Linked DNA regions of Kluyveromyces lactis. The protein of the gene in region 2 binds, or shares a complex with, the protein of the main gene of each other region. Links are inferred from orthologs where the notes say so. Each region holds a gene or a part of one and is shown on either strand. Other genes may lie near its edges.

Region 1 (8,898 bases), on a different chromosome or scaffold from region 2:
GCGTTACCCTGAGAATAAGGGGTTACAACAAGAACAAAATCATTAGAATAAATCAACAATCCTCAGATATTGCTGTAGACGATGATGTGATCAGTTTTTCCGTGAGGCTTTAATAATGGCTCATGCGGTTGTGGAATCAGGAGAAAAGAAGGAGTAAGCAAAAAAAATACAACAACAGCGCTGTTGGTTGTATGCCCGCTGTCCCAAGCTTAGATCCGAACAAACGCAAGGAATTGGGGGAGATAGACATTGAATGGTGTTCCGTTTAGTTTCATAATGTATACCATAGGATGTAAGTGAGAACGGCGGTTGATTCGGTCACGCAAACGCCAATAAGACTGTTAAACATACGCAGGATTTTGTCAGCAAGATTCTTTTCTGCCGTTTCTTTTTACCGAAAATATTCTTGTGTCAGGTCATTCAAAGATGACAGAAAAACGTGATCAATGAAGAGTGGGCAGAAAGGTGGGTTGACTGCAGCGACCAGATTAGGCAACAGAACCGCTGATCATGAGCATGTGACCTTAAAATATCATGGCTTACGAACTCCACCAAACCACTTGGCTCTTCGATTGTTAGTTTTATTTTATTTTTTTTTTTTTTTACAACAAGAGATTTGTGAAATCATCATCTCGAGATGAGATACGAGATGAGGTGAAATCAAATGGTTTGTGATTGTAATCATGGCGTCTTTTCTATAAGCCATAATTGAAACATAATGATGGCTGTTACAGTATCAGGAAATACCGGACAGTCAACCGCTGAAAGACTGCAATGTGAGTTTTTTCTCGTGAAAAAGAAGCGACAGTGCGGAATGACAAGACGAGCTGGTTCCCAGTTCTGTTCAGAACACTCTACTGATAGCGACAGAGTTCCTTGTCCATTGGACCCTTCTCATACTGTGTGCTTGAGTAAGATGCGTGTGCATATGAGGAAATGCAATAAATTTAGACATGATGTTTCATATCAAGCAAAACAGCGCGAAATTCCATGGTTTAAAGAAGGACTTAATTCCATCAGTAACGGGAAGTCAGACAGTAAGCCGGCAGATGAGACACTAGTTAAGTCAGTGAGTTTGATTCAGAAGATATTTCAAAATGAATTTGGTGACGAACCTCCGTTGCCATTAATCGAGAAACAAAACGAACTCTTGGAACGTACGGAACGGTACAAGACTTTGGTTAATAGGAAACATGCAAGACAACAATCATCGTTGATTCAACATCTTAAAGAGTCCAAACTATGGCCAAGTTTAGAATCATGTGCAGTGAACAAGACACTGGAATACATTGAACTTGGTTGTGGGAGAGCTGAATTTTCAAGGTACGTTAATATCGCTACAAATCTGGACCAAAAGGAGCATTCTCATGAAAAGCCAGAGTACAAAGCCGTCGCACCCTCCTTCACCCTCATTGACAGAGCCTCTCAAAGGTTACGTTTTGATAATAAGTTCAGTTCTGACATCGGAACCGAAGTTCAAATCAGACGTGAGAAGATCGATATTAAGGATCTTAGATTGGATGCAGTACTCCACGATGCATCTCAATACGTGGCTATCTCAAAACATCTATGCGGTGTGGCCACAGATTTATCGCTAAGATGCCTTTTGAACAGCGATAAATGCAAGGCAAACCTTAGAGGAATACTTATTGCAATGTGTTGTAGACACGTATGTCAATCTTCTGAGTATGTGAATCAAGAGTATATCAAAGGTTTACTGAAAAGACAGACCGATGGTTCGATGGCGTATTCGGAATTCTTCCAATGCTTAAAGAAATTCTGTTCCTATTGTACGTGCGGATTGAGACCAGATATGGACCCCAACAGTGGTTCGGAGGACCATATAACGAAATTGACGCACAACGAGAGGCAACGCATTGGACACATGGCAAGGAGGATCATAGATGAAGGAAGAGCCCAGTTTCTACAATCAAAAGGCTTCGAAACAGTTTTGTTCAAGTACACAGACAGCGCTGTCACTTTGGAGGACACTGCGCTATTGGCATTGAGGAAGCATGATTAAACCAGGAGGACCCTCCGCTTAACCTACCTGTACATATCTTACGTAAAAAAGTGTATCTTCTGGCAGCATAATGATGCAGGATGCAGAGAACAAAATGTGGTACTAATAAATGCAAATGCACTGAGAGTTTGAATTGTTTTCCCGTGCTACGAGCTTCTTAACAATACCCTAGATGGAAACAAAGGTCACATGTACAGTAACGGTTGCCCATTGCAATAAGGGTAACAACAAGATGATGACACCGCCGGGACAAAATTTGTCCCGGAATTTGAGACGGTTTTCCCTCTCCGACCATTATAATCGGAACAACCACTCCAACAGTGGGAGTTACCAAACAAAACTGCACGGATTTCTTCCGTTCCCCAAAAATTTCAGCTTCCTCCATTAAAAGTGGAAGCCCTATTTCACGTGAGAGGTGGCCTGACAGAGAACTGAACAAAAAAAAAAAAAAGAAAAAGAAAGCCAAACAAAATCCGCAGCTGGAACCTTAATTACTGGACGCCCGACTTCTTGAAAAACACACTGGCATTAAACAAGAAGCTACCAGAATGTGTTCACGTACAGGCAGTTGGTGTTCTGTGTTCTTACAAAAAAGTTTCGCCTTAGTCGCAGTGAGAACGTGCAATAAGCTGATCTACTCAACGCAACTGACAAAGACTAGCAATAACTGCCACATGATATTCTCAAAACCCACTTTGCGATGCAATTGAGCGATGTATAATCACACCAACCAACATACGTGTTTCTAGAAATTGGCAGTTTTGCCCGGCCTGATTGCCTAGATAGTGCAGTGGCAGTTGGAACACCTGTCGCAAGCTCTCTTCATATCATCATCTTTATCCCTCTTTTCTGAGTGATGTTCTGTCTGGATAATTATCTTCTTCCGTCTATCTTCTTCTAAATTGATCAGTATCATAATATGGAAAAAAAGGTTGTTCGTGAATTTTTCCTCCATTCAATTCATATATAATAAGAACAATGAATTGCATACTTCCCAAATCTTGATAATTCGTTTTAATATCTATCAGTAGTTGTTTATATTCAATTATATCTTGTGTATACAAAACCATCATCCAAAAACCAATCCAAGTTTCGTTTGACTTATAACCAATAGTACCAAAAATTAAACCTTAATTTTGAAGTACTTTATAATTTAAACTTAATACGAATTAAACCAAAAAACCCACAACACGTAAAAGAAATTACAATGCCAGCTCAAGACGTATTGACCAGAAAGACCGGTGTCATTGTCGGTGACGATGTCAAGGCTTTGTTCGACTACGCTAAGGAACACAAGTTTGCCATTCCAGCTATCAACGTGACCTCTTCTTCCACTGTTGTTGCTGCTTTGGAAGCTGCTAGAGACAACAAATCTCCAATCATTTTGCAAACTTCCAACGGTGGTGCTGCTTACTTTGCTGGTAAGGGTGTTTCCAACGAAGGCCAAAATGCTTCTATCAGAGGTTCTATCGCTGCTGCTCACTACATCAGATCCATTGCTCCAGCTTACGGTATCCCAGTTGTTCTACACACCGATCATTGTGCTAAGAAGTTGCTACCATGGTTCGATGGTATGCTAAAGGCTGACGAAGAATACTTCGCTAAGCACGGTGAACCATTGTTCTCCTCCCACATGTTGGATTTGTCCGAAGAAACTGATGAGGAAAACATTGGTCTATGTGTCAAATACTTCACCAGAATGGCCAAGATCCACCAATGGTTGGAAATGGAAATCGGTATCACCGGTGGTGAAGAAGATGGTGTCAACAACGAAGGTACTTCTAACGACAAACTTTACACCACTCCAGAAACTGTTTTCTCTGTCCACGAAGCTTTGTCCAAGATCTCTCCAAACTTCTCCATTGCCAGTGCCTTCGGTAACGTCCACGGTGTTTACAAGATCGCCGCTGCCCTAAAACCAGAATTGTTGGGTACTTTCCAAGACTACGCTGCTAAGCAATTAAACAAGAAGGCAGAAGACAAGCCATTGTACTTGGTCTTCCACGGTGGTTCCGGTTCCTCCACCAAGGACTTCCATACTGCCATCGATTTCGGTGTCGTAAAGGTCAACTTGGATACTGACTGTCAATTCGCTTACTTGTCCGGTATCAGAGACTACGTCTTGAACAAGAAGGACTACTTGATGACCCCAGTCGGTAACCCAACCGGTGAAGACTCTCCAAACAAGAAGTACTACGACCCAAGAGTCTGGGTTAGAGAAGGTGAAAAGACCATGAGCAAGAGAATCACTCAAGCTTTGGAAATCTTCCGTACTAAGGGTGCTTTGGAATAAAGTTCTTTTGTTTAGTACCATTATCCCAAACAATTTAACTTATAATTTTCTATATACAATTTAAATACCAGAACGCATGAAATGATCAAATGAAGACATCTGAACCATTAGTTACAAAATGATTGGCAGGGATCCGCTGTGCATCGGATACGTTCACCAGTGTTATCCTTGGACGCTACCGAGGACTTACCTGTTATCGAACTGCATTTGTCTTTTTCTCTCACGTGATCGACTTTGTCTCATAGTCCAGTTTGGCTTAAATATGAAAGCAGAGTTAAAAAACATAGGAACAGTTACAATCAAACAAAGTCACGTTCATAGTCCCTTAACACAATTACAACTCCAGAAACAAATACAAGAAACAGGGAGGACTCAAAGCGATGGATTTTTACTCCAATCTCCCGGTGAATTTACAACAACCGACTTTATTCGAAATACTCTCTGTCAATGAAGTGAAGAAGTTAATCAAACCAACTTTAAGGTATATTTTCTCCATTTATCTCCAATATAGAGGACCAACACGATGGCTGTTGAAGATTTTTAATAAATTTGACTTCATAATCTTGGTGATTAAATCTTTGGTTGAATACAGACATTATAAAACAACAGGTGCCACAATTCTTGACAAGTTCTATGGATTGAAAAGGTTTTCTAGATTCCCTAAATTAACCTTTCTAGGAATTTGGTTGAATGACTGTTTATTCGAATACGTTAGTGATATCTGTGAACAATACCATGAGCTCTTGCAGTCCAGAAAATTGACGAGCCCAGAATTGAGCTCATGGCAACAATGGTTTGATGCCTATTATCCTAAGCTACAGAAGACTATCAAAGTGATAAATTTCTGTTTCAAATTAAAGTACTTGCGTCATTCAAAAGACACTGATATGATCCATTTCATAACACAAATAAGATACCAACGATACCAAGAACCCGAAGAAGGAATTGCAAGTAGGAAAAATACTTTAACTCTTTCTGAACGTCGTCGTAAAAGAACTAATTTACCCAGAATATTAGCTATGACCAAGGATGCAGTGGAGAGCACATCGACCATGTTCTTGGACAAGTTATTCCCGAGCTTCCTAGTGATGATCAGAATTTTACAAATTATCAATCAGCGGCCTGAATTATTCAAGAAAGAGATACGAGTAAAGAGACCAAAACCTCCAGTACTACCTGGCGTAGCATCAGAGGTGGATAACAATGATACGACTGACGTATGTCCCCTATGCGGCGAAGAAATAACAGAACCTGCCATGATTTCATCTGGATATGTCGCTAATTTAGAGTGTGCCAAGAAATGGGTAAGCACAGAAAATACATGTTTCGCGACTGGTGTGCCCATAGATAAACGCATCCGTAAGTTATTAATATAGTTTTGCATTAATTTAGTAAATGAATAATGAGAATAATTGAGCCAGTAGCATTAGAATAATTCTGCATTGGTTTCCATTTGATTGAACATCGTTTGCATCATCATTATATCAGATTCCAGCCTAGAGATTTCTGAATCTAAGTCTGGAGCCGATGTTCTACTGTATCTTAGCTTTAATAACCAAATTTCTTTCAAGATTTCATCGCTTGGTCTATCATTATCTTCAAGATATTGAATCATCCTATCCAAATGATCTTTTAAATCACGTTTTAATAGTTTTAAATCGGAATGATCATCCTGAATTTCTACTCCACAGTTGATTAGCTTATAAGGATATCGTACACTCTCATGCCATTGTATCAAATTGCTAGTTTCAGGGAAGTAATGGAACTTGGATTTAATAATGTATTGTTTCGAATTCAACGACTGTAACATGTCATCGTAATCGTAAATGTCCGGGTCAACCATTAGGATTCCAATTGGATCAGAGGATTTCCAGCTGAAAAGGCTGAGCTTCGTATCAACGTTTCCAACTCCATCACACAGAAAACACTGTGATGCTATTTCATTTTCCAATACAAGGATAAATAGTAACGGACCTCCTTTACTTTCAATGATCGTCGAATTAACTTGCAGCAGAACTTCCTCCTTCAAATCCATATCTTGATCAAATAATGCAGAACAGGATCTAGCTATAAATAAGGCAAGGCCTCAAGACACAACTAAGTTTCGTACAACCTCCTTTTTTATTTCGTTCGAGTACAACAGTGTATGAATTACTATTATGTATTTGTATATTATATTTACAGGGAAAGAAATCTTTAAAAGTTGATCTCAACTGAAAAGGATTATGTGGAAAACATACATTGCTGATGCGGCCTGTCTATACTAACACTTCGCCTTGGTCAATAACGACATTCTGTTGGCCATGCACTGGTTCGTAACAGTACCATTTCAACAAAGCGTCTGTAGCGGCTCTGGCTTTAGCTTCTTTCAAAGATGAACCGTAACCCTCGCCTAATTTCTCTTCACCACTGAAAACGCCAACGATGAACAAGGGTGATTTAGACAATCTACCGTTTTCTGCAAGTAGTTTCGATACCGGTCTTTCCAATCCTTGGCGACGGCACAAAGCTGCCAGTTCTCTGGTTGGTTGTTCGAACGCGAACAAATCTTTAACGTCCAGCTTTCTGGACAAAATATGATCTGCGATAAACTTATGTGTCTGGTTGAAATCTTTGTCGACACTGTATACAGCGGCGAATATACTCCTTACGGCAACTGCCATAGCATTGTTCTCAGTGAAGTTATGCAATTCATCTACGGAATTTTGGAAATAACGTAGTTTACCCAATGTAATGGTAACATTTTCTTTCTTTGCATATCTATCCACTACACTTTGAGTTTCCGGTTCTATACCCCAGGAACGACCGACATTGCTCAAAACATGGTCGTTAATATATGCATCCACAGCAGCATTCAAAACCACACCCGGTAGCCTAGGATATTTTTTCATTAGCTCGGATGTAACTGCCAAAGTTAAAAGACTCTTACCAAAAATGTTCAAACTGACATTGTCATAGTTCACTTCCCCACTAGAACGACACGTCAAACATCTGGACAAAAGAGAATAGGATAAGCCTTGAGGCAATCTTAATCTGGAATGGAGTGCAACTAAATTGGGGCTTGTTAGTTCATGTGCAGGGTTCTTTAACAGTGTACTGATGGTATTCTTATATTCTTTCAATGATGACAGTTCTGATTGGTACAACCTGGCACAAGAAGCAAATCCTCGCACTCGCACAGGGTTCAATAGCTTCAAAACAGACATCCTTCTTTAACCCCCCTCGATGGTGATGTTGATTGCTGTATATATCAATGGCAAACCTCACCAATAGCTCACTGCATCACTCAACTTCTTTCCATCCTCTCTCTGTAACTCTTTCACTAAAATTTTTTTTCAATATTTCGATACTGAGATCTGCAATTACCCGGATATAGTAGACTGTTGATGTTTTCCGAGTAGTCACGTGATAATAATATGTTTTCACAGACATCTCATTATTCCAGATTCTTTCTGATACGGCGCACTTATGCTATGGATTGTCGATGAATCGGTAGCTAAACATATTTACAGACTATTCTAAACTACCATAAATTGCAGTTGGAATCGTAATGGTAGTCTACAAGGATCCCACTCTCATTTGGTTCAATTTTTCGCAAAAAGTGATGTTCAGCCCAATGTTGCGACGGTTTTATAGTGTTCCAGCGACATTTTTCCATCCTACAGTGTATGCATTATCAACGCCATCAAATCAGCACTCTGCAATAGCTATAATTAGGATATCGGGTACACATTCAAAGTATATCTTAAAAAAATTGTCGCCAAAAAAACCGCTACGGCAGAGGAAACCGATGATTCGGTCATTATATGATCCCAAGGCATCAACTCTGATAGATGAAGCGTTAGTCTTGTACTTCCCACAACCACGGACCTTTACAGGTGAAGATTTAGTGGAATTGCATCTACATGGGGGGAAAGCTATTATAAAGGCAGCGTTAAACTCAATCCAGGGTTTGCGGGACTCTGAAAGAGATATTCGTATGGCGATGCCGGGAGAATTCAGTCGACGAGCTTTCCAGAATGGGAAAATGGATTTGTTGAAGCTTGAAAGTATCAACAATATGATTCATTCAGATACAGAATTACAGCGATTGTCTGCATTGCATGGCAATCAGACCGTAGACATTTTCCATGAATGGCGACAAGAGATTATAGAGCAGATCGCTAAACTAACTGCAATTATTGATTTTGGTGAAGATATCGAAACGGAAGATATCGATTCTATAGTGAATGGTGCCAATGATAAACTTTTACAACTATACAAAAAAGTGACTCGATTCATGGTGAAATTAGATAGAATGGCTGTCTTGAACGATGGGATAAAGTTAACATTGTTGGGTGAACCAAATTCCGGGAAGTCATCATTAGTTAACGAAATATCTCAAGACGACGTTGCGATTGTCAGTGATATACCGGGCACCACAAGAGACTCTATCGATGTAATGATGGACATTAACGGTTTTAAATGTATCTTGACTGACACGGCAGGGATCAGACAGGGAACTTCAGATTCTATTGAGATCAAAGGTATTGACAGATCCAAAAAGAAAAGTTTACAAAGTGACTTAGTGGTATTGGTCATT
Region 2 (11,869 bases):
GAATCTGAATCCAGTAAAGAGGATGCGTAATCTTCGTCATCTATGTAAATACTTGTCAAAGTTTCACCCTTGAGAGTGGATTTTTCATTGACAATATAAGAGCCCTCAACATAACAATTTGTAAGCTTTGATTTCTTGCCGATTTTTGCATTTCTACCGATGATGACATTTTCTAGCTGGGTTTCATCATCAATTTCAACATTATCAAGCACAACACACCCAACGATACGGCATCGCTTTCCTACTTTACAATTGTCACCGAGGACCGAACGTTTAATATTGGTTTTCTCCAAAATTGCACAATTGTTACCAACCATAGAATCTGCACCGATAGCAGAAGAACCATCAGTAGTGCGTTGTTGAATCGCCGTTTGTTTAATCTTCAAAACGTACCTATTGGATTCCATGTATGCACTCAAACTGTTTGATCTGATAAATAATCCGATTTCAGGTAACACGAAGATACCTATAGTTTCTCTGGGTTTCACATGCTGCCACGAACGCCTAGACAAATCCCTGAATAGCTTGCCTAGCGATTTATTACAGTTTATTGGATCTTTGATTAATTTCTTCTTTCCCTTCAAGAAAGACGTGTTCTGGAATGATGTGGCCAAAGAATCAACGGCTTCCGAATCAGAGTCTAATTCTCCAGCACCTTTCTCGGTTTCATCCTTCAATAGGTTTACTAACTCATGAGAGCAAAAGTAAATGAAGGAGTTCAGTAATTTTGTGGATACAGAGGAGTTCGGATATCTCCAAAGCATTTGGGATCTGATTTGTAAATATTTCGTTTTGTCCACATCGTCTTTGGAATAAACGTCTAGAAGAACGGGCTTACTAACAGACTCCAAATTCTCGGAGTATACAGTCAGGAATTGCTTTAAATGCTTCTTATCGATATTCTCAAACCCATTGTGATAATATACTGCCATAGCTAGATTCTCCGGATCTTTATTCAAATACTGATCTAAAAACACCTGTGGTGGAATGTCTGTGATGAAATCACAAGGTAACAACACGAAATCTCCAGTTATCTTATCTAGCAATTCATTCTTCAGACATTCTCCTGTATTCTCACATTTTGAGGGTATAATATTAATAGGAGATGGTTTTTTCAAATAGTGAGCATGGTTCGATCCAACGCTTTGGGATAACAGTCCAAAATAATGCCCTCTCACTTCACGGTATTTTTTCAAACTTTCCTCTAATTCGTCAGCATCGGATGCGTCAATAACTAGATTGACCTCTTTAAATTGGGCTTGCTCACACCAATCTAGTACGAACTCAATCATGGAGCGGTTTGCAACCGGCAATAGAGCTTTGGGAACACCAGTGTCTCCACGAACATTGGAAAACGGTGTTAGCTTCGCACCACGTCCACAGAATATAAAAGCTTGAAAATCCATTGTTCTGTACTATTCTGGGAATATTAAACTGTCTTATCTGGAGATCAACGCATCAATAAAACGTAGAACCCACTATATATCTTCAAACTGTACCGTGGCAGGTCATCATCCTACGTGATGCTTAGGTTAGTCAATACTCCATCTTATATTGAAAAGCTTTATTCCTGAAAATTTCAAAATCGTGCGTAATGATCTCCCTTTCTATTTAGTAGATTCCGAATGCTTTTGCCACCATTCAATCTAGTAACCCATAGTCCAAATGAAGAGAATAGGTAAGAAAGGCCAAATCCAACCAATTGAGTTGAGTCAATCCATTATAACAGTACTAGTCCAACCAGGAAGGAATACTGACAGAATAAAGGTACGGGATTTTTCTCCTTTCATATTGAGAAGCAGGAATAGGAAGATTAAGCTAGTCTGATCAGAATAAATACTAAAGATGTCTCAAGAACAGGATCCTTTACTAGCAGCAATGGAAGAAAACGATGGTGATGACACTAACGGAGCTGGTACCAACTCTAATTCGGGAGAAAATAACGCTGCCGCACCTGAAACGGTGGAGCCTGTGGATCCAGAACAGGCTGCAAAGGAAAAAGCGATGTTACATTTTAAGAAAAGACTTATGGAACACAGACGATACGACGATATGTTGAAGCAACGCAGAGAAACCATACGGGTACTAGAAGCAGAATATGAGAGAACAGAACAGGATATCAAGGCGTTACAGTCGATTGGCCAACTCATTGGGGAAGTTATGAAGGAACTTTCCGAGGAAAAATACATTGTAAAAGCGTCATCAGGTCCTCGTTATATTGTGGGTGTGAGGAACTCCGTTGATCGTTCCAAGCTAAAGAAGGGTGTCAGAGTCACACTTGATATTACTACATTAACTATTATGAGAATTTTACCTAGAGAAACTGACCCATTAGTTTATAATATGACCACTTTTGAACAAGGTGAAATCTCTTTTGATGGTATCGGTGGTCTTACGGAACAGATCAGAGAATTGAGAGAAGTCATTGAGCTTCCACTAAAGAACCCAGAAATTTTCGAGAGAGTGGGAATCAAACCACCTAAGGGTGTGTTACTATATGGTCCTCCTGGTACTGGTAAGACTTTATTGGCTAAGGCAGTTGCTGCAACTATCGGTGCCAACTTTATCTTCTCCCCAGCATCCGGTATTGTAGATAAATACATCGGTGAATCAGCACGTATCATTAGAGAAATGTTTGCATACGCCAAAGAACATGAACCTTGTATCATCTTTATGGACGAAATAGATGCTATCGGTGGACGTAGATTTAGCGAAGGTACCTCAGCAGATCGTGAAATTCAACGTACATTGATGGAACTATTAACTCAGATGGATGGTTTCGACAACTTAGGACAAACGAAAGTTATTATGGCTACGAATAGACCTGACACTTTAGATCCTGCTTTACTAAGACCTGGTAGATTGGACAGAAAAATCGAAATCAGTTTACCAAATGAGGCAGGAAGATTAGAAATCTTCAAGATTCATACATCCAATGTAAAAAAAGCTGGAGAATTTGACTTTGAAGCTGCAGTCAAGATGAGTGATGGATTTAACGGTGCGGATATCCGTAACTGTATAACTGAAGCAGGGTTCTTCGCTATCAGGGACGACCGCGATTATATAAACCAGGAAGATCTAATGAAAGCCGTGAGAAAGGTTGCCGAAGTCAAGAAGCTCGAAGGCAAGCTTGAATATCAAAAGTTGTAATGAATATACACACTTGTTTAGGCATCTCAAGTAGATTCATAATTTTAAGATTAAAAACCAACCACTATAGTATAAGCGCTAAAATTGTTGCCGTAATTATGAATCATTAGTAAATCTATTAAACGATGAAATAGCCCTATCTGCAGTTATTAAACCTTTTTTTGACACGAAACGCATATTAAACTCATCTGCTAGATGCTCCTTAAGCTTTGCAAACCGATTCTTGAAGTTAGTGGAACAATAGGGGCATATCATCTCAAAGTTCTTGATATACCTTTCGGATAGCTCCTTGTCACCAGGCAAGTCCAACACAGGTAGTTCATCCCATGGTATAAAGAACGGGGAGTTGAAAGAGTTGAAATGCTTTTTGTGCTTTAATTTCTTACTATGGAAATCTCTTGTCATGACATGTATATGTGTATTAGCCATTGATGGAGTGCTATGTACTCCTGATTGGACAAAATTCGCCAAGAAAGCTTCTTTCTCTTTCAAGGATATATCTTTTATGTCATATTTTTTTATGAATTGAGTCCAACAGAATCGTTTAGCCCAATCAATATGCCATTGAAGCTGCACCTTGATGCCATTGTCGATTGTGGTGGGATGAGAATTGCTGATCTTATGACTTCTTGGCAAAACTAAAAAATGTTCTTCAGATTTAGGGAACTTATCATGTATAATGGTCGCTATGTCGTCAAAGTAGAGTACTTCAGGCAATCGTTCTGGACACAAAACGTACGGTCTGAGACCTATGCTGAACGAGTTCTCCCTGTTTTTCTCGTCACCATGGGCGTTTGGTACATAAGTGGGTTTGAAAATCTGCAGATACTGATTATAAGTCATTCCAGTTGTGATTTGTGGATGGATTTTGTTCATATGGAAACCAATTAAATCTCTGTTCTTGCCGATGAACTGCTTTCGGCAATGTTTACAGTACACAATATCTTTGTTGGCGTCTTCATTTAATTTGAATAAATGAGTCGTAAACCCCGATTTATCTGAGATAGTCCATTGATCGCCTGGACTTTCCTTCCATTCTATAACATATATTGGACCGCACTCATCCATTTGTTATGAACTAGTAACAGTTATCTAATCATTTAGTCATTACTATAATCATAAATTGTTGAGGTCTGTTACTACAAGTAATGACCTTTACGTATAGATTTCCATTCAAAATAAACATGTAGTAAAAAAAAAAGTCAGATAAAAGTGCGATGAAGTATGATATTATGATCTATGTACAAGTAGCGTGGATACGAATGGCAGTTAAGTGCTAGCCAAAACTATTATTTATTCTTATTGTAATTCGAAAGATTTCTTGAAGTGTTGGTAGACCTTGTCACCAATCAATTCTTGATCTTCATCAGTCAATTTACGTTTTGGCAATGCTGCCAATTCTTTTCTTTGTTCGATGTATCTTTTCTTTGCTTCCGTTAGAGGCATTTTTGGAGCCACCAATCTTGATATTTCCTTCGTTGTCAAGGTACCTCTTCTGTATTTCGACTTAGGGTTACGGATGGTTGACAATGCTGCTTCTGGAACAGGATTTTTTACTACGCTTTCAACCCAGAAAGTTTGTTGACGTGCAATTTCAGAACGCGTAGCCAATGCACCATCTGGCTTGAACTCCGGCTTAGGCCATGGAACAACCATATTGTTCTCACCAACAACAACCCTATATGGCATAATTTTCTTGTAATCTGAATCATAATACGAACCCTTGAATTCGATGTCACGAACAGCAACAGTCTTAGCCACACCTGGAGTCTCTGGATCATCGAGATCAGCGACTAGTTTGATGTCCGCTTGGCTCACGGGGACAGGGAAACTCACCATATGACTGTTCTGCCCCTGTTGCCAAAATTGCTTGGGCACAGGAACAGTGTTGGTGGGTCCATTCTCATCCAAAATATACCCGTTTGTATGCACGTCGTGCTGCGTAATGGCACAAACATTGCCCTTAAACTTTCCATTTACTATCACCACTCTATCACCTGGCATATATTTCCATTGCTTTACACTCTTATACTTCTCGGATTCTTCGACACGAGGCAACGATGGTTTCAAGAACTCTGGCATCGTCAAACCTTCATACTTGGCAAATTGTTTCGCAATATTAGAGTTCTTCGCTTGAACTTGCTCCAAAAAACGGGCACCAGCCTTCGATAAATGTTTATATGAAGACATACCCGCTGATCTATTTTATTCTAGTATCGAATACCACCGTCCTTTTCACAGAACATAAACCATTTGTGGTTCATTCCATAGTACCATATTGATACATATGTCTTTCTTGATTCCGTTCCTTCAAGTTTTTCATCGACAAATTTTTTTGGAAGGGAAAAATGAAAGCACGTGATCCGAATTAGACTATCAGATTCTTCGCATTTGATTTAGTATTATAGCTTGATGTTACATAGGATATACAAGGTGAGATATACATGCGGCACAGGGCTCCAGCTGTGGCAATGGAAATGGTCGTGAAGCACTAATTGTCAGTGCATATAGCAATGAACTCTTCTTCATTGATCTCTCCGTCATCGTCAAGATCAAACTCATCAATCATGGCACGTAGTTCTTCGTCTGTAAGGTTTTCACCTAGTTCGTGAGCTACACGTTTCAAATTCTTCAATGAGATCTTGCCCGTGTTATCATCGTCGAATAGCCTGAAGGCACGTTTAATTTCATCCAATGGGTCTCTTTGCAATATTTTTTCTCCTACTACCAGGTAAAAATCCTCGTATTGTATTAACCGGCGTCCGTCTGCATCATACCTATCGATAAGTTCTAATATGTCTCCTTTACTGAGTTCAAAACCCAATGCCCTTAGAGCGACTTTGAATTCATGATAGTCGAGATATCCATCATTGTTCATATCAAAGAGTGAGAACGCCTCGTATATTTCTTGTTTCTGTTCTTCTAATAATTCCTTTTGTAAAGTGGATTTATCCACGGATTTCGCTACTCGTCCACTGGGCCTTCTGTTATTCATGTTTCTATGATCCGAATTGGGTTAGATTTCTTGCCGTTGTGAGTCTTGGCTGTAAGTCAATCGAACCTCTTAATTTACCTCTTTTGCTGCACGCGTAAACTTCGTGAAACTTCTTTAAAATATGTTTAAAGATTTCATGTTTATGATTATTTTGACAATATTGAGTTTAAGGAACATAAACACATATCCTGAAAGAAATGAAGGCAATAACTGATGAATACCTTACAGTACTGCCAGATCAACTACTCTTTAGTTCTAAAATGAAACAATGGATCTGGAATTAGGAGATAGGGTAGTGCTACGCAGCCTGGCAGGAACTGTACGGTTTATAGGCGAGACGCAGTTTGCAGCGGGGATTTGGATCGGTGTTGAGTTAGATGAACCCTTAGGGAAGAACGATGGTAGCGTCAAGGGAGTCAGGTACTTTGAACTCAGTGAGGGTAGAAAAGGTCGGATGTATGGTATATTCAGTAGAAGAGAGGGTATCTATAAAAATTCTGCACCGAACTCGCAACAATTTCAGGATCCTGATACTACGAATTCTAACTCATCAGATCCCGAACGATTGAAAAAGATCATTGGAAGATTGGAAGTTAAACTCAAGTCAGTTAATGACAAATGTATTTCGTTTGAAAAGGAGCTGGGATTGAGATCAAAAGAGCTTGAAAAAGTGCAATTTCTCGAGGAACAATTGGAGAAATTAACTTTAGGACGAGATGAGGCAGAGCAACGCAATGATTCACTGATATTTGAATTAGAAAGCTTGACCATTGCTCATGAAAGTGCTTTGAAGGAGCTTAATGATTATAAAGAAGAAATTTTAATAAGAAGAAAAGCAGACGTTGATGTCAACACTGATCAGATAGAATCAGTAGAATCAGATGCCCTTATCAAGCAAAACAGATTATTAACGGTTGCACTACAAAAGCTGCAATCAGACCTAACAGAAATACAGAAACAATGCAACGGTTTGAAAAATAGTAATGAAGAACTGCAAACCCAGGCAGAGACATATTTGCGAACAATATCAGCCTTAGAGAGTAAACTATTTGAAACAACAAAAACATTAGATGAATTGAAACAGCACTTCAGTGCGAATAGTAATTCTAATAACATCATTGAATCTCTTACTACAGAAAACCATCAATTAAGTACGGAGCTTGATTGTCTTAAGTCAGAGTTACTCAAGTTGAAACAAACTCAATTGGCAGATGAAGAACTAGAAGCACTTTATAAAGAGGTCGAATCGGAGCTAAATTCTCAAATAGCGAAACTTCAGGAAACTCTCTCTACTGACGAGAGCATAATTAACGCATTGAAGGAAAACAACAAAACCTTAAAGAATGAATTACAATCACTGCAAAATAAATCGGGGCAATATTCTCAAGAAATGTCACCAGAAGTTGAAGAATTACAAGCAGAACTTACTTCGTTACAATTAAGGAATAATGAGCTTCAATTCCAGAACGAGGTATCTTCTGCAAAGCTTAGCCATCTGAAAGTGGATAACAAAGTGGAGCTACTTTCTCAAATTAAAATCATATACCTGAGAGACCAACTTCTTAGCCAAGACGCTGTGAGTATATGCACATCTCAACTAATTTTATTCATATATTATGCGATGATTAAATATGATGCTGGTGTGACATATTTGAAAGAAAAGATCAATTTGGACTTATTATTGGAATCAGTAAAAAATAGTCATCCAATCAAGGTTCAATTATCTCTATTAGAAAATGCAGACATCACTTTATCGGATCCTAGGGTTCTATTTACGGCTATTCAAATGTTTCTTGAAGCGTCGGTGGAAAGACTTTTGTCCGATACTGAACACTTGTCAAAGGAATCTGATCAGCAGCGAATAAGAAGCCTGTATAACACTTTCCATACGATTAACACCTTCGTCACCACGAAATTGGAAGAGCTTTATGAATTTAATGGAACCTTAAAGTCTGATGTGAATTTATTCTCGATTTATGTTCACTTTGCAACGTCAGTCCTATCCCTACAGGAAAAACCAAATGAGTTGTCAGTGTGTTTAGAGGAAATTAAACAAATTCCTGTCGACATGTTGGAAAACAAGGAAAGAAACACTTCAGTTGAAAAGAATGTGATACAATCCCAAGCTCAGGTTGAAGTTCTCCAACAGACGATATCTGAAAAAGATCAAATCATCCAGGACTTAATCCTCAAAATTGAAGTTCTTGAGTCGAAATATGCCAGGAATAAGGAAATGGAAGGTTCCTTATCCAGCTTGAAAAATGAGCTATTAGAAGTGAAATCAAGAAACTCTAGCCTTCAGGATGAATTGGTGAACATGGAGGCGGAGTACCAGCAGTATCGCAACAATAGAGAACAAGAAATAAAGAACGCCAATAATTTATTTCATACAAAGGCATTAAACAATATCCAATCGCTTAGAGAAAACAATGATAAATTATCATTGATCGCTGAAATCTCAGATTTACAGAGGATTATTCTTCGAAAAGAACAAGAATCTCGCCTCAAATTGTCCATACCATTGTTTGATACTCATCGAAAACAGTTTTCCAGTAGAAACATGTTCAATGATTTCAACAATATGGCAAATATCTTATCGACGTGCATTGAGTTAGCAGACCCTATCATCTCTAATGAGTTTACCTCCATTAGGAAGCACAGGCTCGCAAAATTGAAAGAAACTCATGAATTATGTGTGACATATACATACGAAATGCTCAAAGGTGAGTATTAATTATTAATCATTAATCATTATATATGAGGGTCTCTACAAATGCGGGAATTCCATTTAACAACCCTATCAATATCACCTGCTGGATATAGAATTTCTAAAATATAGAGTAAAATATATTCCACTATAGCGCAAAGAACATACAATAATCTGGCCCAATTTCCATCTTGTCTATAATACTTTTTTAGCATAACGACCCAATTCTTGTTTAAGGAGCGTACATCTAAAGATATCCTGTCATAAACCTGGACGGTTCTTTCAGCCACATTCATCCAGTCATACATTTGTGCGATAGTTTCATGAAATTGTGTTGTATTAACTTTGCTATGTCCTATGCGATGTATCGCTTTGTTCATCGCCTTTATCAAACTAGATACCGAGGTTTCCTGGGCATATACGGTCATATATTCAGGAAGGACCTCCGGTATACCACCGACAGATGTTGTTACTATTAGTAACCCGCACGACGCAGCTTCAACCAAAACTGTTCCAAATGCTTCAGTTAAACTTGCATGCAGGTATATATCCCCTTGGCACATGACATCTCTAACATGTTCGTGTCGCACAGATCCTAAAAGTTGAACGCGTTCCTGAAGCCTATTATTTTCTATCATTTGTTGGAATGCAATGAACTTTGGCCCATCTCCAGCAACAATGAAATCGACGTTATCGTTATTCGTACAAACCTTTGGAATTAAGTGTGTCAAAAGGTCAGCTCCCTTATTGGTATACAACCTGCAAATCACCACTACTGTTATTCTGTTAGATTTTTTCTTTATTGTTGAATCTCTAGGCTTGAAACTGCTGGAAACAACCGCATTCGGTATGACTGACACATTATCTGGATCAAGATTTGCTCGGAGTATTATATTCTCTTTACAAGTATGAGAGACAGCAATGACAGCATCGATGTTGCATAAAGTGAATTTTAGTAGCTTATTGACAAGAATTGAACCGAGACTATCAAATCCATATAAAGAATGGTCTGTAAACACAGTCTGTATCCCCATTGTATTCGCGTGTAGTATTCCTTCGTGCGCAAAACTGGAAACACTTCCATGCGAATGTAATACATCAATCTGTTCTCTAATCAAAATATTTCTGAATATAGGAAAGCTTCCAAATACTGTTGGAAAAGTGGTCTGTCTATAGAGTACCAAGTATGGAACATAGTAAACTTTCAAACCGTTTGATAGATATCGTATTCCTGTTCGATCTCCGTAGGCATGAGTTATAACACAAACATTGTGCCCCATTTTGATTAGCTTTTGAGATAAATGGTATATATGGAACTCAACACCCCCAAGCTGCGGGTAGAAGAAATCGCAAACCATAGCTATGTTGTATTTTTGTTCAGCCATTCTTTAGACATTGATGTGTTTGATATGAATTAAGTGTTTAATATATCGAAACAATTTATCGTTCAGATTAACCCGTTTTGGAGCTACAACTTTTGTTAGACTATACAAAGAATATTTGTATAATTGCACTGAAGTTTTAAATCTCTCAATATGCTTTACTTTAGCGTTACTTAATCTGTACTTTCACTCCTCACTCTTTACCACTTTCTGTTGACTGTTTTTCGATCTTTGGTTGTCTCGATGAGTATTTTGTACAGAAGGTTTAAAATAACCTCGAAATTTGGAAACGTAACCTTTTCCAATACACTTCCGAATATTATCTTGAGGGGTTATCGAGTAAGCAGTGAGATTTCAAGCATATTTAGTTGGTCCACGTTAAGCCAGCGAATAGAGCATTTCGTTAAAGCCTGAAAAATGCCTCGTGCACAAGGGCGGTACCAAGGCGTCAGTCAAGATGAGGATGTCAGTCTTCCAGATGTGTCTTCGGAAAATGTCGTTGACCTGGATGAATCTTTACTACCGCCAAATCCTCCTGAATACGACATCGAATCGCGTCCTGATATACTTCCAATGGAACTTGATATAGAACAGGAAGATACTATTAGTTCAGTGGGTCGTTTTCAAAGGTTAAAGACCAGAATTGAGGATAATTTGATATTTCCAATGAAGAACAATGTTGTCGATCCTCTCGTACAGGTATATCAAATGGCTTCTGCGAAGGTTGATCTATATTTGAGCAAACTGGGAAATCCTTTAATCCTCCGCAGATTTGTGTATATACTTTTCATGTCAGTGATTGTGTACACCGTGGTTATGAGCGGATTGATGCCCAATAGCAAGAGCACCGCCACTATCGGAATGTTCTCGGATAAAAACCAATTAATCTATTACGCGAGACGTTCCATCGACTATGCGAAGTTAGAGGAAGATATGGAATACTTAAGCAGCATGCCTCATTTAGCTGGTACTAAAGGTGATTATGCTATTACGAACTATATCAGAGAATCGTTCAAAAATAATGGATTAAAATTAATGAAGGAGGTTCCGTTCCAAGGATATATGAATTTCCCAAACGAGGTTGAGTTTAGCGTTACTACTTCGGACAATAAAGTGCATGAATTTGCTTTATCAAAGGAAAATTTTAACCCATTAAGCAGTAACGGGAACATTCAGAATGCCGATATAATATATGCAAATTATGGGACTGTCGCTGATATCCAATCATTGAAAGAAAACGGGTTACTTTCCGACAATACTGTTCTCGTTATGAAATATGGAAACTTACCTAGTGAGCAGATACTTGTCGCTGAAAAACATGGTATCAAAGGTATTATTTTTATATCAAAGCCCTTTGGAAATGATGGTGATGTCATACAGAAACTCTCAGTAGCGATTCCTCAGTACGGTACTGGTGATGCTTTGTCTCCTGGTTGGAGCACTCTTTCGCCAAAGAAAATCGGATTGGAAAAGTCACAGTTAGTACCGCACATCCCAACCATACCTATCTCGTATAACCAGGGTCTGAAACTTAAATCAATTCTAAATGATGGTTCTCCCAGTATCAAATTCGAGGACTCCTGGTTTAGTGGCAGAAAAGATGATGTCAAATGCAACCTAAGGCTAGCCAACGCT
Region 3 (11,627 bases), on a different chromosome or scaffold from region 2:
AGCCAACGACTTATTGTCAATCTTGAAGAAGCCATCAGAGGACCAACCAAAGATAAACGATTCAGAGACACATTCAAACAGAAGTGTAGCCAATGATTTATTGTCCATATTGAAGAAACCATCGAGATCAGAAGTACCAGGCGCCGCTTCGTCTCCTTTATTCACTAATACCTTTGAGAATAGTCAAAGTAGTAGTTCGAACGCTTCAGTGGAACATCATACTTCTTCCAATAACGACCGTAATGGTTCTAATTTTTCAAAGCAGTTTACTGCCTCACCTGCACTAAACGAACCATCTCCTAAAAATGATGCAAGCGACTTAATGCAACTACTGAAAAGACCACAACAGAACAGTGAACCTCAAAGTCCAATATCAGACCTTTCTCCAGCAAGCAAACCCTCAAATGAATTGCTTAATATATTGAAGAATCCCAAGACCGGCCTAAACTCGCAAATATCGGACGATCCTGTGACACACAACACCCAATACAATAGGATGCCTCCTCTGCAAGTACAGCCTCAACAGCCTTTCCAAATGCAGCAAATGCAGCAAATGATGCCACCTCCAGGTTATCCTCCCCAAAATATGTCATATATTCCCCAAGGCTTCTCTCCTCAGCAGCAATTCCAATATCAGCAACCGATTAATGGATATCCTATGCAACCTCAGCCACTTAACATGGGACAACCTGCACCAAACCAAGGTTTTACTAAACAGCAAGAACTTTTGAATATATTACACAAGCCAAATGCTCCTGTTCAAGAAACTCCTTCCAACCCTTCATCTGAATTATTGAGTATCTTGAAAAGATGAGACATTACAGCATTTCGCAATTTCACTTACATATATTTATATATGAGACTTTTCATCTAAGGAATATTTTGATAGTTCAGCTGTATAATTGAAAGAGCTAAATCTATTATTGTTCAGAATCATCTGATGGGATTTCATACTCTTGAAGAACCGCTGTTAGTTCTGCTTTATCATCTCTTCGTATCCACTCTAACTTTCTATCTTTCATGCCAGTTAGAGTGGTAATACAACCGTAACACACGCCTACATTCTTGGCAGGAGTATCACTCATTTTGTTTAGTTTTTCGGCTTTGTCTGGATTAGCTGCCTCCCAGGCATTGTAGTTGGTCAGTTCTTCCTCATTATGAATCACAAATGGCTTGCTAACTGTGATACCGTCAAGCCAATTTACTGGATTCTTATAAATAATGGCATTGCAAATACTACAGTGCATGATTTGATTTAGTTCATTATCAGGGTTAGATAATTTTGCACCTGTTCTAACAACTGTAGATATCACGTTTGAGTAATCACCTTCAATGTTATCAAAATACTGTCTCGCGAGTTCATTCATCGTCATATTTTTGATAAGTTTGACATTTTTGGTAGGCTTGTCCACAAATTTGTCATAAAACAAAGTGTCCTGGACAACATAATTATGAGAGAATTGCGAAAGCCCTTTTATATGACAGTAAGCATCAATTTCTGACAGTAAAACGTCCCGGCCTGGATGAAAGTTTCTGAAGGCGGTATTATATTTACTATCGAGGGAAGAATCATCAAGATAACCTGCGATTTCTGCACCACGTCCTTTAACAGTCAGACTAATGACTTCATCAGCTAACTTTGTCATCGAGTGACCCCATAAGATGGCTTTGAAATTTCTTTGTAAGGCAAATTTCTTAATCAAATGGGTATAAATAATGTTCAAAAGATCTTCTTTCGCTGTTTTGTTAGGCGCGCTGGCAAGCACTTTCTCTACAGTAGTACTTGGATTATTTGATGATCTTACCAGAGTGTTGAAGTTATCAATGTACAGTGTAATTTCTTGCAGATCAAACGGCACGGCAAAGAATTGATTTCTGTCAACAATATGGAACAGAATCTTATCGGAGTTTTCTTTATATTTTGATTTCAGAAGTTCAATCTTACCGCGCACTTCTTCAAACTCTGCCTGTCCACAAATCGTGATTACTTCTACGTGAAATCCAGTTTTTCCCCGGTGTGTTTGTTTCTGCTCCAACAAAGTATCGTTCAAGATATCTAAAACTGCCAAAGAAGAGGATCCCAAAGAAAGCGGCACGAGAACATTGGAATCTTGATTTTGCTTATCAGCTTCTGCCTGACCACGTTTCTTATCTGGATATGAGATTTTGAATATATCTTGGAAGTAGTCATCAGACATCATCTGCTTCCTCTGTTTCAAAGAAATAAATTTCACGAAACATTCATCACAAAATGGTTCTTTTCTCGAGACTAGAGTTGCATCCAGCAGCTTACACCTTTTACAAATGACCATGATAGTTGGACGCAGCGATAAGGTTTGCAAGCACGTATTAACAGGCTTTTATTTGATTCAGTGACTAGTTACTATTAAGAGATGAGATGAGATGAGATTGATTTTCTTTTTTTTTTTTTTTTATTTTCATTTCACTGTGGTTGTTAACATGAAATTTCAATCTAGAAATTTTGGAGTTCTGAAAACCATAGTAAAATATTGAAATGTTAAAATGAATCCAGATGAACTAGTAGCAGATGAGTTACTGGTAAAGGGGAAAATAAAAAAAAGGCTCAAGCTAGCAACTTACTGCCTTACTAACAACAAATGACCGATAAACAAGAAACAACACAACCAGCTGAAAAGCTGCAACAGCCTGAAAAGGTGGCAGAGAACGTCGACCCCAGTCTCGAACTCAATAAGACTAAGGTCAATTTTACACCGGAAAAGACTGATGTCAACACCTACAAGTTCTATCCTGATGATCCAGAATCTACGTTGAACAGATACAGATTTGCAGTGAAAGGTGCTTCTGAATACTACGACCCATGCCAGGAATCATCTAAAATGTCTTTCAAGTGCCTTGAATTAAACAACTACGACAGAGACCTATGCCATGACTATTTCGACGCTTACAGAGAGTGTAAAAAGCAGTGGTTGAAGGCCAGAAGAGAGAAAAGAGAATTTTGGGAATAATTCAACCACATCTGCATGTAAATAGCGTACTTAATGAGAAGTAACTTTCTAATCAATAGCATGAATTATTTATTGATAATGAGCATGATCCTCCATTCCCATATTGAACGACATAAGCTAACAAACGGAACCTGAATAAACAAAAAAAGAAAATAATAACACAAGTTGAAAGTACAGATCACGTGACATAAAGGAATTGATATTACCCGTCTTTCCGAATATTCTCCATTGCTCCTAACTATTGGAATCCGACTCGCGCTCCCTCCAAAACATGGTTTCGGACCCCACATGTAAAGATTTCGACCCAAAAAATATTCCAGATCCCAAACCGAAAAAAAAAAAAATGCAGCTTCCCATTCCGATCAAACACAAATACGGATTATTACGAGCAGCATCAGAGATTCCCATAGGTAAGAAGTTTCCGTAATCGAAAAAAAAAGTAGAAAAGTGCAAAATTAATTATGATATATAAAAAGTTTTGTAAACATTGAGCTATTGTATGGAACAGGACGAACGAAAGCCTCAGGAAATAACACTCAGTAGTAAGCATCAATAGGATCTAGCAGATTTTCATTGATTGAGATATAGGATTTAGTGAAAGAAATTTAGAATCATATCAAGACGCTTTATTTTGGTTTGTTGAATACTGAAAGGAAAAAAGGAAAATGTCGGATAATTCTGTGAGTTCATTTGTGACTCGTAACAAGACCGCCATCTTGGCAACTGCTGCTGCCGGTGGTGCTGCTATTGGTGCTTATTATTATTATAACCAATTGCAGAGGGCAGAATTGGGTTCTGGTTCCAGTGGTAGTAAGAAGACTTCCAAGAGTGAAAAGAAGAAGAGGGCCGGGAAGAAGAAGAAGGATTCGTCTTCTTCATCAAACGGTTCTGATGTCGTTTATCCAGTAGACGCTAACGGTCAACCAGATTTGTCTAAGAAGGATGAGTTTACTCCAGAACAAGTTGACAAATATGCTTTGGCGTTGAAGGACAAGGGTAATGAATTCTTTAAGGCCAAGGATTTCGAAAAGGCTATTGAATATTATACCTTAGCTATTTCATTGAAAGAGGATCCAGTGTTTTACTCCAACAGATCTGCTGCATACGTCTCAATTAACAATTTCGAAAAAGTTGTTGAAGATACCACTGCCGCTTTGAAATTGAAGCCTGATTACTCCAAATGTTGGTTGAGAAGAGCTAGTGCTTATGAAAACTTGGGCCAATTCTCCGATGCTATGTTTGACTTGTCGGCTGTCTCTTTGTTGGGTGAATACAGCGGTCAATCCGTGGAGCAACTGCTGGAAAGAAACATGAACAAACAAGCCACAAAGGTCTTGGGTGAAAAATTGAAGGAGAACCAGGGTAAAGAATCTCCATTACCATCTAACACCTCTTTGGCATCATTCTTCGGTATCTTCAACCCTGAAACTTCTTTCGATGATTACGATGGCGAAAATGAAGCAGATGTTGAGTTGAAAAAAGGTTTGGAAAACTTGTACAAATGTCAAACCGGATGTTACGAATTGGCTGATGAAGAATTCACCAAGGCTGCCGAGTTATACAAGAAAGAATTAGAATCTTCTCCAGATAATGAATCTTTGAAGAAGAAGGCTGCCATCGCCTTCGAACATGTGGGTATTTTCAAGTTCTTCAAAAATGATCCAATTACCGCGCATATTAACCTGGAAGAATCGTTGTCTTTGAACCCAAGACCTTCTACTTACATCTACATGGCTTTGATTATGGCTGACAAGGGTGAAGCCAACCAATACAAGGAATACTTTGACAAAGCTTTAGAATTAGATCCAAACTGCTCTGCTGTTTACTATCATCGCGGTCAAATGCATTTTGTTGTTGAAAACTTCAAAGAAGCTGGTGCCGATTTCGATAAGGCTAAGGAATTAAATCCAGAAAACATTTTTGCCTACATCCAATGTGCTTGCTTGGCTTTCCGTGACGATAGATTTGATGATTGTGAAACTTTGTTCAGCGAAGCCAGAAGAAAGTTCCCAACTGCTCCAGAAGTTCCAAACTTTTATGCCGAAATTTTGGCTGCTAAGAACTCTCTAGATGCTGCCATCAAGCAATACGATATTGCCATCAAGTTGGAAGATGCTTTACCAGGTATTCACGTCGGTATTGCTCCAATGATTGGTAAGGCCACTGCTTTGATTAGAAACCCAACCGTTGAAAACTTCGTTGAAGCTTCCGAATTATTTGAAGAAGCTTGTAAGATCGATCCAAGATCCGAACAAGCCAAGATCGGTCTTGCTCAACTAAAATTGCAACAAGAAGAAATTGATGATGCCATTCAATTGTTCGAAGATGCTGCCGATCTCTCAAGATCTTTCGATGAAAAACTACAAGCTACTACTTTCGCTGAGGCTACCAAGGTCCAGAAAAAGATCAGAGCTGATCCATTCATTAAGGGTAAGATCGACGAAGCTATTGCAGCCTACCGTGCTCAAGGTCTCGCGTAAATTAGCATGATATTCACGAATGAATTTAATTCATTTCAATATGAGTAAAGCTACAATAGCTCATTGTTTTTGTCTCACCTTAATGACCATAATGGCAACATACCATGCAACATCTAAACGAATGAATTACCAAGAAAGTTATGATTTTACAAACAAAAAGTTGTAGCATTTCACCCAAGTTATTTATGACTCGTAAGCAGCGTGAACTGTGTTAATCGTAAACGACAAGATCTCAACATTACAACGTGAAGAATAAGAAATAGTTATCAATTCTTCACAAAAACAAGACAAAAAGAAACACAGAAGAACAAGAATACGAGAACAACGCTTTTCAATAACAGCTCATTGCAAAATATGTGCTCCTAAATACCCCTGGTTCAAAAACATCATCTTCTACCATTTTGCTAGAAACAAATACGTCTTTCTGTATATACATGTATCTCCCCCATCTCACAATTTAATCAAATTGTAATTTTAAACACTTCGATAGTATATCACTACATACGTTTCAACATAAATGACATTTTTTGTTTTCTCTGAAAGAAGTGTATGTAATAAAAGTTTCTTGTGAGATTATGGCAAGGTACTGAGTGAAAGTGAGCTACAATTCAAGTACTTCATTGTTAACGGACTATAGCAGGATTTACCCCACCAGCGAACTACTTCAAATATGCTATCTTCTATCTTTGGTTCGATGATGAACTTTTCCGCTAGAACTGGACTTCTGGGATCTAAAACTAATGTTTCATCGCTCATCCTCACCAGAAACTTGATGAAAACACACAAAGGTGCCGCAAAAAGATGGAGAAAAACAGCCAATAGCTTCAAGAGGGGCAAGGCTGGAAGAAATCATGGTAATGCTGGATGGAGTAGGAACTCCCTTAAATCATTATCTGGCAGGTCATTAGCAGACTCCACACATATGCATCGTTTAAAGAGATTGCTTCCATACCATTAAGAGATGAAAGGCAATTAAAATAAGATATCGTTTCGATTTCAATCCTGTACATATAACAATGGCATCCCCATAATGAATGACACACCATTTCTTACCATGATTTTCAGTAAAGCATGTCATGAAAAATCAGCGGGTTACTATAATGGATAATTATCATTAATAAATACCTATATACAATTTGCAAACAACGGTAAAAAATGATTAATCATATATATAGTCAAATTAAGTCTCCGAGATATCATTCTCGATCCAACTACCTGTTTTTGGATTCTTTCTTAATTCTACCGTTGGGAAGTAGTGATAGTTTGTCTTTAAGGAAATGGCAAACGGAACATCGTCAAATGTCATTAAGCGTAACTTGCAGTATGTATTATCTGGGATTTCTTTAACAACCTTCAAGAATGTATCCAAATCAGGTGTTGATTGGTCATTGACGTGTGTGATAAAGTTGGTCACTTCTATTCCGTACTGTAACGCCAAAGAAGATGTACCACGAGAAACCGCATATACTTCACTAGGAATAGACGTTTTTACTTGACGCACGGCATGATGAGGAGCTTGTAGTACGCAACCTGCGAATACGACAATTCTAGTGGTTTCTTCAATTTGTACAGTTTTTATTTTCAAATCGATAACCTTCGCATCTCTTACAACCTTGAATAACAACTCAGATTCGATATCCGTATCGTCATCAGTCCCCACGACACCACCAATATCCCTCATTCTTTTTACCAGTTTCCCATTAACTGATAAGATAATATCACCAGGCTCGAGCCTTTCCTTTATTGTTGTATAGGAGTTTCTGGTGACACTGATGAATTGTAATCTGTTTTCTGATTCTTCTTCCATCATCTTAATCCATTCTTCAGGAACACCTCTGATTCTAGCCTGCAATAATGAGATGGAATCAAATCCTGCGTCCACAATAGAAACCTTAGGATTCTTACCAGCCCTGAGAATATCTACAACTTCTTTGATATCCACTACGTCTAAACCCATTAAATACAGTTTTTCCTTGTTACCCATGCAGGATAACCAGATTGCTCTCACTGTACCATCATCTGCCGCTAATATTCCTGATTTACATTTGGTGCTTATATTCGAATCAATGGAGATGACTTCTAGATTGGTTGCTCTATACCTAGGAATGATGTCGTTAGGAACACTCAGAGAAGAGATGCCATTGACTTTAGTCTTGGAACTGATTAAAGTGTTTGAGTACATGTAACCAATGAAATTAGTTTCGTCTCCTCTTTCAAGCCTTTCATTAGCTAGCACTGGTGTGCATACTGGGGCGTCAACTAAAGATGGATCATATTGAACAATAGCGTAATTTTGGGTAGGATGTAAGAATACAACTTTAGCAGGTACAAGAATGGATTCAGCGAACGAGACAAACGTGTTCAAACAGTCATGAGGAACAAAACTACGTGAAACAATAACATATCCCTTCTCAGCATCGAGTACTAAACCACATCCGTTTGTGGGTTCGGGTTCCATGGAGTCCATGGTGATAGCAATAACCGAATGTACAACACATAGACTATGTGACATTTTTGCAAGTTTTTTATTATCATTAATCGGTAGATCTAAAATCTTAGCTTTCTGTGGTTTTATTGGAAGTGGTGGTAATTTCTCAGTGATCTTTTCATAATCCCAAATACCTGTTTTGTCATTTCTAGTATAGATTCGGAACTCACTGCACCAATGACGGTCAATATAAACACTGGTTATTCTTTGTGTTTGAACATCTGTCAAGTTATGGAATTTCACGATTACTCTTTTTTCGTCAGGAATTGTTTTCATGACTTCTATAAAGTCGTCTAGAGTTGGTGTTTCTTTATTATCTACAAAATCAATAACCCATCCAGTTTTCTCCTTTGGATCCAAATCGAACGATCCAGTGGCACTTGCCACGAAAACGCCTTTTACAGGTAACGCATAGCATCTAGCCATTTGGTACGAAAGCTCATGGAAATTAGCACCACACACCTCGACATAACGTGAAGGAGTAATAATATGCAGGTCACCAACAGTGCATCTGAAGGAAATATCTTTGGAACCCCTTTGAACCACAATGATTATCTCATCTCCTACACTGCTATCTAGAATGTTATCAACTTGAATAAATGAACATATTGGTGTGCCATTAATAGAAATTAATGTGTCACCCTCTTGAACTTTATTATAAGCTGGTCCCTCTCTGAGAATAGCCTCAGCCACCAGCAAACCAGTTTTACCCGGGAACCTCTTACGAGCTTCCTTCTCACGATCTTCACTTAATCCAAGTCTTCTACATTCATCGAATGGTTTCAATACCCACTGAGTTTGGATAGTACCTCTGGTGATTGGTTTATCCGTTTGTACGCATTGTAGAGCTCTGACGACTCGATCAAGAGGCAAAAAGAAATCTGTAGAAGCCTCCGAAGAGCCACCGGCCTGTAAAGCGACCGCATACCCCTCTACAGTAATAACTGGAGAACCAGAAGAACCACCTGATGCAGCAGCAGCAGCTTGAATATATTCAGTATTAAAATCATTATACGTTAGCTCACCATAGTCTGGTGCATTTCTGTCAAGTCTACTGATGAACCCTGACAAGATACTCAATTTTTCACCAGCATCGTTACCAACAACACGGATTTCAGAACCAACCTTGGCCAAAGATGGTTTCAACTCTAGTGCAGTGACCTCGATATATTTCAACTTCGATGGATCAAACTTCAAGAACCCAAAATCATGAACTGGGTCGCGATAGATAGGGATGACATCACACTCTTCGTGATTGTCGAAAATGGCGTATCCGATGAATGGACCTGGACCCACAACGTGTCTGTTTGTTAAGATGATACCGAGTTTTGCATCAACAATGAAACCTGTTGCTTCCGACACCAAGGCAGCTTCTGAATCGAAAGGTGCGACTTGCGAGAAATGAATTGAGACCACCGACTTAACAACTTTGGAGATAGTTTCTTGCCATTTAGCGTTGTTATTGAATAAAGAGTTGCCTGAATCTATAGGTACATCGTTCACTTCATCATAGTCTTCTTCATAATCAATATCTTCGTCTACACTACTTGTGTTCTGATCGACGTCATTGTCGACCCTCTGTTTCTTGGATTCAAGATCAATGTCTTCAACAGATGATTCGAGTAGGTTTCGCTTCAACTCAACAGTCATTTCACCAGTTACTCGGTACGTACTTCGCAGTTGATTATTCGAAGAGTAATCCGATCTCCAGAGTTCTGACAGACGGTAATGTCTCTCTTCAATTCATCTCATCTGCGCTCTCTATGTTTAGTTATCTTCTTTTTTTTCATCTTGCCGTTCCCTTCGGTAAACGTCAACGTGAAAAATTCATTAGAAAGGTAATGAAAACGTATTGAATGATAAATGCGAAGATGGGGACGGTGAGAAGAAAGGTATCGGAGGAAACCATTCATGTGCCATCTCTTAGACTGAGGTCGACCATAATTCTTCGTTTCCAGTTTGAGTATTGCTCTTCTGATACGACTTCATATTCGTCTTGTAACATGCTGCCTATTCTGACGGCGATAGCGTTATCGAAATCCGATCCATCGTAATAATCGAACTTGACACGGAGTTCTCGGTACCATTTCTCACCGTCTATTAGTTCTTTTGTGATCTTGATAGCTTCCATGATATCTTCATCATTTGTTGTTCTCATTTGTGCCGCCATCTTCTTCATTAGCTTGTTATCGATTGTACTGTCCTGATTTCTCTGTTGGTTGAAGACAACGAACGAGCAAAGAAGTACCAGACCACAAACCAACTGTGTAGGATACGCTAGGTAAGTAGCGTTGTTATTGAATTCGGAAATTATGGTAGCTGTTACTTCTTCAGGAAGTTCAAATTCATTGCACAGAGTCACCAGTTCAGCGGTAGACGGTCTATAGTATTTTTTGTATAGCATGTTCCATTCGTTATACTTACCTCTTTTCTTTCTTGGTGAAGGCGTGTATTTAGAAGGGGAGTCACGAAAGGGTGACTGTCTTAATGGAGATTCAGGATCATCCTCAACTGATCCAAACACTTGTGGTATATTGATCATATCAGTCTTATTCTTCGGGGTTGCTAATATGGGCAACGGAAGGCCATTTTCTGTATCAGCTTCAAACACTAATTTCCTCCGGACACTTGACCTACTCCCTTTGCTAGGTGAAAGATCAACATTCTTCAAGGGCTGGATACCACTTTTAGTTCTTGATTTCGACGGAGTCTGGAATAGCTGTTCTTGTAACGACTTCGGATCTATCCCTGTGAATCTTGCATTTTTAACCGCTGACTTTCTAACCGATGGTGATGCAGTATCATCAAACTTCAGCAATTGTCCTTCGGTATCCTTTTGCGGCGAATGAGGCCATATGTTTCTCTTAAATATATTCACAAGTTTGGATACTTGGTCTGGTGGAAGCGGGATCTTCTCCTGAGAATATGGTAGGTCATTGTCATACTTCTCAGCTAGTTTCTGAAACGCAATCAGTGCACATATATGGCACCGAGCAAGTTCCTCTGAATTCTTCAGCATCACTTTCGATACTGAAACGTTGTATAATGTTGCTGTAGTAGAAGCCACTTTCTTTAACCGTTGGTCTTGCCAGTCAACATTAGAATCATTTTTGACCCCTAATAAATCGGTTACACACGTTCGTACTTGCTGCGTAGACATCTTAAATTATTTCCACGGATTCTTAGCACTCTAAAGTGACTAAAATAGGATCATCTACTCACTTGTTGTATTACACTGGCCCGGAAAAGACATATATCTCATCTCATCTCCATGGACCATTTTTAACATAATATTAAAAACAGTCTTTATGTAGCTTTTTGATCTTTTTCTGATTTTCTCGATTTTCTCCAATATTGAAACAAAATATGGTAAATAATGAAATTGAATATTAATCAAAAGTATCATTATTCGCTTCTCCATCTATAAGTTCAGTTTTGGCAATACTTCTAGTATTTCATCTAGCATAAGTTGCTATTCCAGCGTGTGTGTATATTTTAGTTCTCATGAGTGGGTACTATAATAGACAGTACTCTCATTTTCATGGGAATAATGATCGGTACCAAACCGGACGATATGCATATCAAGAAAATGGGAATAGGTACAAGGGCTTCCAACGGAATGGATCAGGGAACCGAAGATACTCCCGCGAGGGGTTTGGGTCTCAACTTAGG

The links.
Region 1: MRPL40 (region 2) and MRPL3 share a complex: the UniProt entries of both Saccharomyces cerevisiae proteins name them as parts of the mitochondrial large ribosomal subunit. The link is inferred for Kluyveromyces lactis from reciprocal best matches to the Saccharomyces cerevisiae genes MRPL40 and MRPL3.
Region 3: MRPL40 (region 2) and MRP35 share a complex: the UniProt entries of both Saccharomyces cerevisiae proteins name them as parts of the mitochondrial large ribosomal subunit. The link is inferred for Kluyveromyces lactis from reciprocal best matches to the Saccharomyces cerevisiae genes MRPL40 and MRP35.

The regions. Positions count from the first base shown.
Region 1 is NC_006041.1:680,868-689,765, forward strand, and holds MRPL3 (mitochondrial 54S ribosomal protein mL44), read right to left. Parts: upstream 7,523-8,898; coding exon 6,575-7,522; downstream 1-6,574. Other genes in the region: TRM13 (tRNA:m4X modification enzyme), read left to right, coding at 719-2,023; fructose-bisphosphate aldolase FBA1, read left to right, coding at 3,231-4,316; PEX12 (ubiquitin-protein ligase peroxin 12), read left to right, coding at 4,697-5,692; KLLA0_E07613g (uncharacterized protein), read right to left, coding at 5,743-6,351; MSS1 (Mss1p), read left to right, coding at 7,867-8,898. UniProt on the Saccharomyces cerevisiae protein: Component of the mitochondrial ribosome (mitoribosome), a dedicated translation machinery responsible for the synthesis of mitochondrial genome-encoded proteins, including at least some of the essential transmembrane subunits of the mitochondrial respiratory chain.
Region 2 is NC_006039.1:831,216-843,084, forward strand, and holds MRPL40 (mitochondrial 54S ribosomal protein uL24m), read right to left. Parts: upstream 5,341-11,869; coding exon 4,450-5,340; downstream 1-4,449. Other genes in the region: GCD1 (translation initiation factor eIF2B subunit gamma), read right to left, coding at 1-1,406; proteasome regulatory particle base subunit RPT4, read left to right, coding at 1,846-3,150; HNT3 (DNA 5'-adenosine monophosphate hydrolase), read right to left, coding at 3,247-4,218; CDC31 (centrin), read right to left, coding at 5,642-6,145; NIP100 (Nip100p), read left to right, coding at 6,414-8,879; phosphatidylinositol N-acetylglucosaminyltransferase SPT14, read right to left, coding at 8,897-10,237; KLLA0_C09735g (uncharacterized protein), read left to right, coding at 10,652-11,869. UniProt on the Saccharomyces cerevisiae protein: Component of the mitochondrial ribosome (mitoribosome), a dedicated translation machinery responsible for the synthesis of mitochondrial genome-encoded proteins, including at least some of the essential transmembrane subunits of the mitochondrial respiratory chain.
Region 3 is NC_006042.1:2,236,802-2,248,428, forward strand, and holds MRP35 (mitochondrial 54S ribosomal protein bL35m), read left to right. Parts: upstream 1-6,137; coding exon 6,138-6,425; downstream 6,426-11,627. Other genes in the region: DCP2 (decapping enzyme complex catalytic subunit), read left to right, coding at 1-814; NCS2 (Ncs2p), read right to left, coding at 921-2,312; COX23 (Cox23p), read left to right, coding at 2,619-2,987; protein channel TOM70, read left to right, coding at 3,653-5,467; NMA111 (Nma111p), read right to left, coding at 6,648-9,605; ORC6 (origin recognition complex subunit 6), read right to left, coding at 9,865-11,115; histone methyltransferase SET1, read left to right, coding at 11,460-11,627. UniProt on the Saccharomyces cerevisiae protein: Component of the mitochondrial ribosome (mitoribosome), a dedicated translation machinery responsible for the synthesis of mitochondrial genome-encoded proteins, including at least some of the essential transmembrane subunits of the mitochondrial respiratory chain.